Linked DNA regions of Saccharomyces cerevisiae S288C. The gene in region 1 interacts genetically with each later gene. Each region holds a gene or a part of one and is shown on either strand. Other genes may lie near its edges.

Region 1 (8,612 bases):
CTTGCGATACCGAGGAGTGTACATTTATAAACATTTTAGTAGCATTCTTTAGCGTATATAAGATTTTAACTAAGAAAAGAAACGAATTTACGGAGTTTCAGAATCAGTTTCTTGCCGTTGTAGAAAATGTGAGGGGAGTTTCCCTCTACTTGTATCAATGTTACAAGACAGGGGTAGAAACCTATTACGTGTTGGAACTTATTTTCTTGAACACTCTAATCATAAATTCTAAAAAACTGTGACTGTGTTTTCGTCACAACTTTGCGGTGTACAGATGTCGTCACATACCGTGTGTTGTTTGGGTGTTTTCCTTTCAGCTTTTTTTTTTTTGAATTTTTGAATTTTTACTTTCATTTGCTTTCGGAGGTCCCGCTTCCGACAATAGTCCGCTTCATTTGTCCCTTCCCATGAAAGTTCATTCCTTTGGGCAGAGAGACCGTCCTTCTGGGAGGAGATGGAATTGACGCCTGGGGGAGGAGCCAGTAACAATTCTAACTCTTCCTCTTCCTGTCAGTGGCCCCAGCACCCGTTCAGACGGTATGGTAACGGGCTCTCAGGAGCCGTTTCATCGCAGCTGGTGGGTAAGTTTGGAATGTTTCAATAGCATTCTACGTAAAAGTTGATGAACTTATTAGTTGTAAGTAGTAAATAACGGGTAGTACATAGTATTTGGCACTTGTTATATTCTTTTGATTCAATTTACTTTGATTGAAACTGAGAATAGATTAGCAACGAACAACCCTAAAAATGGCTCAACGTGTTACTTTCAGAAGAAGAAATCCATGTATGTTACTGAACTATTTTTTTGAGTTTTCATGAAAACTTATTATGAACTTATTATGAACTTATTTTGAACTTTCATTGTGGGAAAATGAGGTTAAAAGGCGAACGAGTGCTATTTAGAGAAGCGTACCACTTAGAAATAGGAAGAACCAGATCATCGATAGGGGAATCAACTATGCAAGAACTTTCAAATATATTGGCATGACATTAAAACATTAGACAGCATGAACGAACAGTATCCAGTAATGTGGACAGCAATAAGTTGACTTCAGTTTCTAAGTGGAAGACCTTGGTCGACCCAAATGGAAAATGAATTTTTCTCCGCTGTTGAAAGATTGAAATGAGATAATATTCATTCAGCAACGCCGAAATACTTTTCATATGGAGCAATCCCACTCAAGTTCTTAAATCATAGGATAATAAAGAAGTGATTACTAACATTAATGGGAAAATTTTCTCTTTACTACGTACAGACAACACCCGTTCTAACAAAATCAAGGTTGTTAAGACCCCAGGTGGTATCTTGCGTGCCCAACACGTTAAGAAGTTGGCTACTAGACCAAAGTGTGGTGACTGTGGTAGTGCTCTACAAGGTATTTCCACTTTGAGACCAAGACAATACGCTACTGTCTCCAAGACCCACAAGACTGTTTCCAGAGCTTACGGTGGTTCCAGATGTGCCAACTGTGTCAAGGAAAGAATCGTCAGAGCTTTCTTGATTGAAGAACAAAAGATTGTTAAGAAGGTCGTTAAGGAACAAACTGAGGCTGCTAAGAAGTCTGAAAAGAAGTCTAAGAAATAAATTTAAATAAGCATTCCTTTTATAATTACTCTAACTTCTCGTCGTACTAAAAAAAAACACTTTTATAGTAAGATATAAAACAAAAACGAAGATTGAATCTTCCTTTTTTATTTCTGTGTTAAATTCTCTAAACCAGCTTGATTTGCGCGAACCACCTGTCACGGCAGATCATCCGAAGACGACAAAGAAAAGGATGCATTACATCGGTTTAAATTTTTCTATTCGTATTTTATAAGTATTATATTATATTATTAAGTCATGCAGATATAAAATTATACAATTGGTCGGAAATGGAGGGAAATCATACATTTTTATTTTATTTTTAGCGTAGTAGTTTTATCAAAAAAATAAAAGAAAATTACCATTTCAACAAGTCATCCTTAGCGTATAAGTAGTCATCAAAGATCAATTCGACTTCATCGGTTTCAGCGTTGTATTCACCGACTCTGATAGATTCGTGGTTCTTGACAATGATGTCACAACCCTTTTCCTTCAAGAAGTCCAAATCGAAAGTGGTAGCAATACCAACGATTTTACAGCCAGCAGCCTTACCAGCAGCAATACCAGCTGGTGCGTCTTCAAAGACAACAACCTTAGATTTGGATGGGTCTTGTTCATTAATTGGGAAACCCAAACCGTTTCTACCCTTTAAGTATGGTTCTGGGTGAGGCTTACCTTGCTTGACATCATTGGCGGTGATGAAGTATTCTGGTCTCTTGATCTTCAAAATGTCGAACCATTTCTTGGCCATGTCACGGGTACCAGAGGTGGCGACAGCCCATTTTTCCTTTGGCAAGGCGTTCAAAGCATTACACAACTTGACAGCACCTGGAACTTCGATGGAGTGTTCACCGTACTTTTCTGGGATTTCACCTTCTAGCTTGTTAACGTATTCTTCATCAGCAAAGTCTGGAGCGAACTTGGCAATGGCATCGTAAGTTCTCCAACCGTGAGAGATGTGAATAACGTGTTCGGCATCGAAGTAAGGCTTGTCTTTACCGAAATCTCTCCAGAAAGCAGCAATGGCTGGTTGAGAGATGATGATGGTACCGTCAACATCGAATAGAGCGGCGTTGATTTTCAAAGATAAAGGTTTTGTGGTCAAAGGCATTGCGATGGTTTGTATATTTGCTTTTGTTGTTCTGATATATTTTAAAACATTGAAACGTTTCATAACAAGGAAACTTGGAAAGAAAAAAATGGCAATCAAGAGATACTTACGAAAGATTTATATACATTATCAATTGAACGAAAATGAACAAGACGACAATATGAACAAAAAGGAAAGAAAGTGATTAACAGAGTAAGAAAAGAAAAAAAAAGGAAAAAAGAAAAGAAAAAAAGAAAAGAGGAACTCACACATCATCAAAGGTCAAAATGGTCAAAATGGTCAAAATTAAAAGACACAAAGGAAAAGGTGAGTAAGGAACAATAAAAGCACATACCATCATCAAACAGCGTTAAAAAAATTATGTTAATGATGATGATCGCAAGAGTAACAGTGATAATGGTGATGATGATTATTCCCATAAAGAAAACCGGACAATGAGAATCCTGCAATTTACCAGGCGCACGCGGGTTCGTGTATGCGAGAAAATGATACGGATTTCCTGCTTGTCTCACTATTAACGCGTGGCGGGGTAAGACCCAAGGAAGACAGACAAAAAAAGCCTTCGGGGCCATGCCATGTCATTGCCGTGGACTGAGACAATTACAATATTGCTTTTGTTCTCTTTCTTTTGACCCTGTGACGTGTTTCGTAAGAATCCCACTTAAGAGATGAAAAAGAAACGTGGTGGTACTTCGCACCCAGACCATACGTCTTCCACTCTCTTGATGGGAGCGGCGAGCTTCCGCACCCACACATTCTAATTGCCGCGCCTTCCTCCCACCCGTACAGAGTGATATCCCTTGGTACGATTGACCAGGGTGTGTGGCGCAAGCAAATTTTCCGTTTTAGTTCAATGATGTCTTAATTGACACTGCGCTTGTTTTGAGCGATGGGTTCGCAGCCCTGGAAGACCCGCAAAAAATTAGGGGAATGGAATATATTCTCTACTCCATTTTTCAAATGTTACCTTTTGTTTGTGTGCATTGTATTATTCCATAGTCGTAATGTTGGCCTTCTTTCGTGCGCTTTCCTAAAGGTTTTTACGCTTGCTTAACTGTTAAGTTAACAAGACTTCCTCCCACACTTGTTTCTTTCATTTTTTTTTTTTTTTAGATTGGTCTTGGCCTCCAGTTCAGTTGGCTGATACACGAGAGTTTGCTGTCTCTCCTTACAATACGCTTGCTTTATAATGACTCTAGAACCACACTATAGTGCCAAGTCGGCTGCTTCAGCCAGTGCCTTTGTTGCCCGTTCTGCGACCGAAAGCTCAACAGCAAGCACAAAAGCTGCTCCTAGGAAAAAGACGTACTCGCAGTCAAATGGTATTCCCATAAGGATTGATAATCTCCCTCCGGGCAAGACTTGGGCCCAGGTAAAATATTTGATAGGCGGAATCATATACCATACCAATATTTTACAGGTGAAAATGCTGCCTCCAATGACTTCCATGGTTCCTCCTTTTATTACTTTTCAGAGTTGCATTGTCATTCTGAAGAACTCGATAGATAACGAGTCCCTGGAAAACTTACTACTTACTTTGAACACCTACCAATGGGATTATCATGATCTGTTCGTTTACCTGTTGCCGTACACTAATGATTCTCCTTCACTGCGATATCCAGAAATCAGTGATAGCAACAATGACGTCCGGAGTGCTCCCGATGAAACTAAAAGATCTATTTCTCCTCGATATGCAAGCCATGTTTCATCTGTGACACCGCAGCCACCATCCGCTTCTACCCCACCTTCTCAATTTTTCAGTTTTTCTCCTGAAGTGAGCCTTCGAAAGAATGAGAACATAACGCCATTGCCCACGCCTGTTCCCGTACCTGTTGGTGTGCCACCTCTTGCTCCCCCGCCTCATGGTCCATTTTCGACTTCGATGCTACCTATGTTGGGTGCTCCTCCGGGAACGGTACCTAATATGCAGATGCCCTATCAAACTACTCTACCTTCACCAACAGCTGCTGCTACTGCTGGTGGTCCACTTGCTTCCCCTACACACTATCCCCGTCGTCGGCATTTCTATCACCAGAACCAAAGCCAGTTTCAAAAATACATGCATAATAGCCCCAGGAATCCAGATACTGGCACAGGCCCTCGTCTTTCTCAGCAGCATCACCTCTCCTTAAGGAACAATAAGATAAATCCCTCTTATAACGAAATATCTGCCCTTTACAACTTGAACATGGCCTCAAATTCCAATAATAATGGTAATATTCCCACTACAAGTACGAATGGTGATGACCGTGCCCTCCAAGCAAAGAATGGTGGAACAATTACACCTTCACAAACTCAAATAAATCACAAAAGATTAAAGCATATCTTTAACGAGAAAAGCTTTAGAAAACAAATGACGAATAGAGGTATGTGGCAGCTGAAGATCATAAATTTCCCACCCTATATACCTATAGAATTCTTGGAGAAATTATCAGAGTCTGATTTCAATGAGTTAATGAACCAAGAGAAGTTCACAGTTATTGAAATTAAAGAGAAAGGACAATTGGAAAAATTTGGAAGGCTAAGATGGACAGTTCTAAAAGATTTTATAAAACTGAAATGCCCCAAGCTATTAAGACTACAGGAAAGACAGTTTCTACAGCAACAAAACGAAGCATCTTTACTCAATGAATCTATGGACGCTCTAAAGATATCAGAAAATGAGAACACCAACGGGAGTGCAAATAATAGCACATACACAAATGGCGGACCTCGAACATCTATCAATAATACAAGGGAATTCTATGTAGGGGTTTATGAAGATCATGAAGAAGCAACTCTACTGAGGTTTGAATTACCGGAAGATGAATTAGAGGAGTTTAATAGAAATTTGCCAACTACTTTTGCACAAAGTGGAAACGTCTCTGACTCCGAAGGTGATAGCAAGGCGAAATACTTTAAAGTTAGCACAATTGTGTATAATGCCATTGTTGGGTTCCACGATAAAGAGCTGTCTGATTTGACGTTCGAATCCTTACAAGACCAGGAATATTCACTGGGGTACAAAATTCATGTAATGGAACTGCCACCATTTGACGAGGATGAATTTGAAAATCAACGGCAGCAGTTCTAAGCATGGATTAAGAGGATATTATTATTTTATCTTACATAAATATGTACGCGAATTGAAAAAGAAAAAAATATTGTGTAGAATGTGTATTAGGCAGTTATGTATGTAGACAATTTTGTTTTGTATTTTTATCAAAGTAAAGGCTGGAAAACCGGCTGTGGTAAATTGCCATTTTGAAAAGAATTTTTGTTCTTTGTAACGTATGGCGCTGGCACAGACTCGTTGTGGTCATTATTATTTGTGTTGGAGGTGGAGGTGCCAGTGTTTAAAGTAGTGTTGCTATTTTCTTCATTCATTGGCGATTTAGAGATCCTATTAAGGATGTTATCAAAGGCAGTTAAGCTTGATTTTTTTGGATCATCTTTTTCTTGTGGTACCAATGGAATAGAAGGCATAGAGGGGTTTTCACCTATGCATGACATTTTGGGCAACGTAATGGGCACTGGTATTTTTGCATCTTGTAGTGGAATGGTGGAAATGTCCTTAATTACGAGATGAATCTCGCTCGTGGAAAAGGAATCAAATAACTTTGCCAAACTTTCATCGTTCAAGAGGTTATCGTTATGGAAAATACCAAAATTCTTGTTCTTGTTGATAATATTAAATAAATTTTTACAGTTTTCCAAAACTTCAGACACCGTGGGTGGTCCATTGCTCAACTGGTGGAAAGTAAAGGCTTGCTCGCGATCATTAAATCTAATGATCACTCTGCGATTAACATCTTTATTGGCCGATTGAGGCTTCATTGGTAGCGTAGTTAAAAGTGTAGCTCTATTCGATAGAGTGTTATTATTATTCAACATAACGTCACTTGAAACGACAGGAGGGCTTCTCTTAACCCTCTTGTTAGGTGAAGATGATGGTGGTTCTGACGCACAGGAACTAGCCAAAGGATACTGAACCATCACAATATGATGTATGATTTCACTTAAAGGGTAAAGCGTGGGGTCGAAGCCAAAATCCTTGACAATACCACCTATGACCAAATACAGTAGCCTTAGTTGTACCTGAGCCGCGGGGAAATGAGATAAGTTATGTCTTGTAGCGGCACCGAACAGTCTTTGAGACAACAAAGCCAGATTTTCAGGAGAGCACGTCTTGGCAGTGATATACTTCATTGAAGAAGAGACCAAGTTGGAGAAAAATCGTTCGATAACGAATGCAATAGACATTCGGATTGACATTTCACCCAAAATCTCCAGATTTGCGTATATATCAATGGATCCTGCAGCCTGCGAAATGTCCTGACAAGTTCTTGATCTTTGGATTTGTAGGAGTAACTTTTCCCTCAGGAAAAATGGCACGGTAGAATCTATCGGGATGTTTGTGGTAATGTTAGGTTGCTGGCTGAGTGAAGACGTAGCAAAATGTGACAGGTTTGGCCCAGTATATGGGTCCTTGAGAGCTTGTTCTGATAGGGGTACGACATTCGTAACAAGATCGTGCACTAGCATGGTGACTATATCGTTATACTTTTGTTGGGTCGAAGTAACCGATGGAGATGAGTCATTTTGGGTGCCCACGGTTGGAAAAATGGTTCCGTTATGACTCTGGTGACTCATGAGAGGCTGGAACTTGTTTGAAAACTGGAAATCTGCAGCATAATTAGAACTAGGCAGGAAGTCCGAATTGGAGCGCTGGTAGATCGACGGAGAGATCTCGTCGTCAGAAGTAGAATTTGACGAGATGCTGTTGTTGACATTGCCGCCACTGCCATTGGCTATGCTGAGAGCGTAGCGTTTTTTTGATCGTTTTCTATTCCTTCTCACTGATTGCACAGCAGCAGTGACTAACTTTTCGAATTCCTTAGAGCAGCTTACAGGGTATCCAAACTCCGTTCTTAATATTGTAGCAATCTGCTTTATGTTTTGATCTTGTTCGCTTGCCTTATATTGACTTAGTTGGAATTTGTCTATCAGCTCCAGCCTTCTGCTCGAAAACTGTTTCCATTTCTTTTCATCATTAAAATTGAGTAATTCTCTAATCTTATGAGTTGCTCCATTCCCAGAAAACTTATTTATTCTATATTGAGTGAATGTTGGAGGACCGTTCATATGTGTATAGGATATAAGCAACGAAGAAGAATAGGTAGAAAGAGAATAAAGAAGGTTTTAAAGCTATAACTAGTAGAAAAGAAAAATGTAGGAAGGGAATGCGGATGCGTTTATGCTAAGATGCGATGGGGACAATAGAAAAAGAAGAGAAAAAAAAGGAAGAGGAAGAGGTAGTGGTATAGAGAAAGAGAGAGAAAAAAAAAGGCTAGTAGTATTTGTATAGTAGGGAAAGGGCTAGATTAGAACTGAACCAAGCTGACCTGAATTGACTCAATAACACCATTCTCACCCACACAAGTACCGAAGATCCAAAAGGCAAGAATCATGGAAGAGAGCACATTGATTTATAGTAAAAAAAAAAAAAAGAGAAGACGACGGTAGAAAGATTTCAGGGAACATATGGCTTACACTTATGCTGAAGAAGTAAGAGGGAGAAGCGAAGCAAATATAATCTGTCACAATGCACAGTGCGCAAACGTAATCTGCCCACTCAGCTAATAGCTCCTGCCATGATTCTGCTGCGTAGTCTATATGAAAGGAAACGAAGGTCAGAGATGAAAAAGAGATAAAAAAGAAAAGAAACTTCTCCGAGGGGCGCAGAATTCAGGGCAAAACAACATGGAATCGATCAAAAGTCATAGTCACCCACGGAAACGTGGCGCCTATTCCGTGGCAGCTACCCGCCCGCCGCTTGTTCTCAGGGCACTTGTCCACTGCATTCCGATGTTCCGCGGAAATTAGCACGGCCTCTTATCCCCGGCTCCGCACGATTCCCTGTGTCCGTGCATAACG
Region 2 (4,251 bases), on another chromosome or scaffold:
AGGAATCACAACAGACAAGAAAATTGAAACTATGGGCGCAAGATTGAAAATTGACGGAAAATAATATAAATACATATAAAAGACCTGATACTTATTGACACAAATTTTCTGGATGACCTTTTTCTATATGATATATATACGTCGCTATTGGATCGTAGGTTACTTGGCCATTATTTGAGCGTAACCGTTCACAGGATGTGGGCTTTAAGGAATACAAAATCCAAATATGGAAAAAATTTGATATCAATTTAGGGCTTTAATATCTAAAGGTATTTATTTTTTTCACAGTTTTTTTTCTGTTAAGCTGTCTGCAATAAGGAATGCTCCTGACATGAAATTCGAAAAGGACCGGAAATAGTTGGAGCACAAGACTGCAAACTAAAAAACAAATTTCTTTGGAATTTCCTTACGCTTATAGTATATATCTTATAAATATTAAAATTAAGAGAATTCAATTATTTTACATCATTTATACAACTGTACAGGGCCGCACATGATCACTATAACAATAGAGCGGCGGCACCAGCAATAGCAGCGGCACCGAAAACACCGTTATTGAACTTGTTAGCACCGTTAGTGGTAACGTCAATAACACGAGATGCTGACGATGTGACAGAAGTAGCTGTAGATTGAGCTTTGGAGGAGACTGGCTTAGTCACAGTTGAACAGACGTTATTTGAACAACTAGTTATGGTAGTTTCAACAGTGGAAGCTTGAGTCTTTGTGACGGTGCTGTCAGTACCATTTTGGACCACTGGAGTGACTGAGATAGAAGATGTAGAAGAAACTGGAGCTGTGGTATTGGCAAAACTAGCAGAGCTTGCAACAGAGCTTGCAACAGAGCTTGCAACAGAACTTTCAGCAGAACTTGCAATGGTGCTTGCAGCAGAGCTAGATTCAGATGAAACAGTAGCTTGGGTGGAAGCAGCGTTTGAGCTGGTCTCTGCTGAACTTTCAGAGGAGCTAGAAGACTCAGTGGCGGCACTAGAAGCTTCTGAAGTGGAGGTGGAAGAAGCCTCTGTGGTAGAAGCTGGTACTGCAGTAGCAATACCTTCATTCGCAAGTGCTTCGGAAATAGCACCCATCAATCTAGTAGAGTACCATGGCACACCGGTGATCATTCTGGTCACTTCATCACCTGAAATACCAGTCAACATGGTGGTGAAATCGCCACCGGCAAAAACAGCCTTGGCAATTTCAGGTGGGTATGTTTCAGTCTTATGCAAAGCCTGGAAAGCGTAATATTCAGATAAATGGGCGCCAATATCAGAAACGTAAACAGCCAATTCAATCAAATTGACCCTTTCATCATAAGGGGATAGAGTGGTGGTCACGGATGCGGCGGTTGCACTTGCCACTAATGCTGCGGCGACAGCTAATATACTAATTCTAGACATTACTTGGGGTATATATTTAGTATGCTACACTTTTATCTGAAAAAGAAGAAATAGTACCGTGTCGACATAAAAATAGTATCATTTAGTCGTGCTATTTTATACGCAGTATTTTCAATCATTTCTATTCAATGAGTACCCAGGGACCCTTTTGCATTTCTAGCATTCTCTGTTCCTGAACGATGTTTTGTTAGAGGCCTCGTATAGATCTTGGCATTTTCAAAGGCACGCGTTGTATTGTTTTATTGCCTATCAAAGGAACGCGCAGGAAACATGAAACTTTTCAGAGGAGCGTCTACGGAGGATACATTCATCAATTTTTCCTCATAAATTAAACGATGTGTACAAAAAGGACGAATTGACCCCGTCGTTCGGCGAAACCTTATGTATTTTCCTGGCCATATGTGCTAAACGACAGATAAAATAGGAAATTCTCCCCATTTTCGACTAATAAGATAAGCGGGAGATAGCATCATATGAACTTTTGCACTCAAACGAAGAAAGCACGTGAGGATTGAAGAAAACGGATCGCCGAATCCAGCGTGAATTGAGCTCAACAATTTTTAACTATATCAATCTCTTTCACTTTAAACACTACCACTTAAATCTTTTTAAAACGCTTTGCCCAATGACCCTTTTTTTATTAAGGTTGCTGAGCTATTTTTTCTATACTATTGTCAAACTCCAAAGATATTTTGAGCTTTATTTTCTTGCAAACAAAATACCCTACTGCTTAATAAATGCAATGTATACATAGTTTTCAAGGTACATTATATTTTAAAGTTACCTCAGGCCTGTTTGCCCTTGCATTCTACAGTCCCTTTGTAAGGGTGTGAGACAAAAGGCCTCGTTAGCTACGACTGTTGAAATCGTTTGAATTCGGCTTACAATCTAACTTTGACTGCGCAATTGTTCATGAATTTATAGTGTGCTTGCGAGGGGCAACTTCATACGAAGGCTTGTAGGACCCCTAAGTGCATCCATAAACATGCTCAAAGATTGTCTTAGAAACCACAAGGAGAACGCACAGTATGAATTAAATAAGTTGCGCTCTGCTAGAATATTTTGACGATTACAAAGTCAGAGATCGAAACATTTCCGCTGTGCAACTAAGTAATTTTCCCAATCTTTGGAGAAAATCAATAATCACAAGATTAGTACTTATCCTCTTGTAGGCTTCTCTCTTTCGCTATAAATAGAGCAGAAAAATATGATACAGAAGGTCGAAAGTTTGCTTCGCTGACTGAAGCTTTCTGTCAAGAGTTGACAAAAACATACAAGATTCAGTATTGATAATAAATGGCCTGCACTTAAGACTCAACCATCCCAATAAGTTACCTAGTTGTGTTACCTAAGCTAGGAAAATACACATTGAAAGATGTTTTACAAAGTATTGTAAAGGTACAATGCATTCTAGGCCGAATGTTCATTTCGGATTGTAATATGTAGTCAACGATAACGAACCTCATGGTTATGGTTATTTCTGTTCCAAATTTGCAAAATAGATCTTCATTGTCGTTGTCGGAACGGGTGGTTTATAATTTTAGTAACCATAGTAACTGAATAAAGTGACCAAACAGTATACTTCATAGCTCCAGGCTAGGAAACAAGATACTACTGCGAAACTAGCGGAAGAAGTTACGTTAAAGATCTATTAATTCAATGTTAATTCAAATTTAATATACGTAGGGATGCGAGTTATTACATTGGAAATATAGCAAATCACTGAAATACCATCATTTTGAATACATTCGTCATCGCCGCATCAGTTATACGTTTCTGCTATACCGTATAAGAATACTTGCTTCTATTCTTAGTTATACTGAATTTTAGACATTAATAAACTACTAACGGTTGCTACTACACTACACTATTCTTCTACCAATGTCGATGAGAGCGAACTCTTCAGAAAGCAGTTTACTTGAATAAATTTTTTCAAAGGCCCTCATTTCTAATGCCTTGTGACCTAGAATTTAGCAGCGTCAACTTTATGGAGCGTTATTTCTCAATTCCATCTTTGTGCCGCGTAGTTCTATCTTACATAACTTTATTTTAAGAAGAGCTTTAGTTCATGTTCTTGGAAGAATTCCTTTTTTGACACGATTTTTAACCTAAAGGCTAAATTTTATTTAAACTAACAGTGAACAAAGTATTTAAAGCTTCATATGTGAGTTGTCGAACACGTCAATAAACGGAGGTAATAAAATGAAGGATGAGGGAAAAAAAAAACCATAATTTTAGGCTGAAGCCCATATTGTGATATTTTTAATGTTTTCTTAGAAAAATTAAAAAACTTCTCAATTAAATGTAAAATTTTACTTGTTGGCGATACCTTAGAGGATTCAAATTTAACTAGTGTTAATATACGAACTGGTAACACTAATGTTTAGATACCTGTATATCATACAAACCATTCAAAGTGTATAGGAGTATGTTCACAAACCGTAGTATTATGTGCTACATGAATCAAGTATAGATTTAAAATTTCTTTCAAGTCAATTTAAATTATTTTACAATTGTTTATATGCTTGTGAAGATTATATTGTATCACTATAGCAGTAATAAAGCGACAACAGCAACGATAGCGGTACCAAAAATGTTATCTTTATCGAAATTATAGGCACCGTTGGTATTGATACTGACAGTATAAGAAGCAGATGAATGAGCAATGGAAGTAGCCGAGGAGGCTTTTGGAATTGGTGAGATGACTTTGCTGGTAGCGGTCGCGATTGGTGCAGTTAACATGGTACAGGTTCCACCTGAGCAGTTGGTCACAGTAGTTTGAGTGATAGACAATCCGGTTCTGGTAAACATGCTAATCCCTGCATCGACAGTAGTCAGGGTGGTACAGGCACCC

What was found. Genes that interact genetically often act in the same process or in processes that back each other up.
Region 2: mutations in YIL055C (region 1) and DAN1 together harm fitness more than expected from each alone (negative genetic interaction), as found in Saccharomyces cerevisiae (one large-scale study listed by BioGRID).

The regions. Positions count from the first base shown.
Region 1 is NC_001141.2:249,199-257,810, reverse strand, and holds YIL055C (uncharacterized protein), read left to right. Parts: upstream 1-3,885; coding exon 3,886-5,769; downstream 5,770-8,612. Other genes in the region: 60S ribosomal protein eL34 RPL34B, read left to right, coding at 748-784, 1,257-1,585; glycerol-1-phosphatase GPP1, read right to left, coding at 1,944-2,696; YIL054W (uncharacterized protein), read right to left, coding at 2,951-3,268; VHR1 (Vhr1p), read right to left, coding at 5,898-7,820.
Region 2 is NC_001142.9:708,311-712,561, forward strand, and holds DAN1 (Dan1p), read right to left. Parts: upstream 1,398-4,251; coding exon 501-1,397; downstream 1-500. Other genes in the region: YJR149W (putative nitronate monooxygenase), read left to right, coding at 1-64; DAN4 (Dan4p), read right to left, coding at 3,945-4,251. UniProt on the Saccharomyces cerevisiae protein: Component of the cell wall.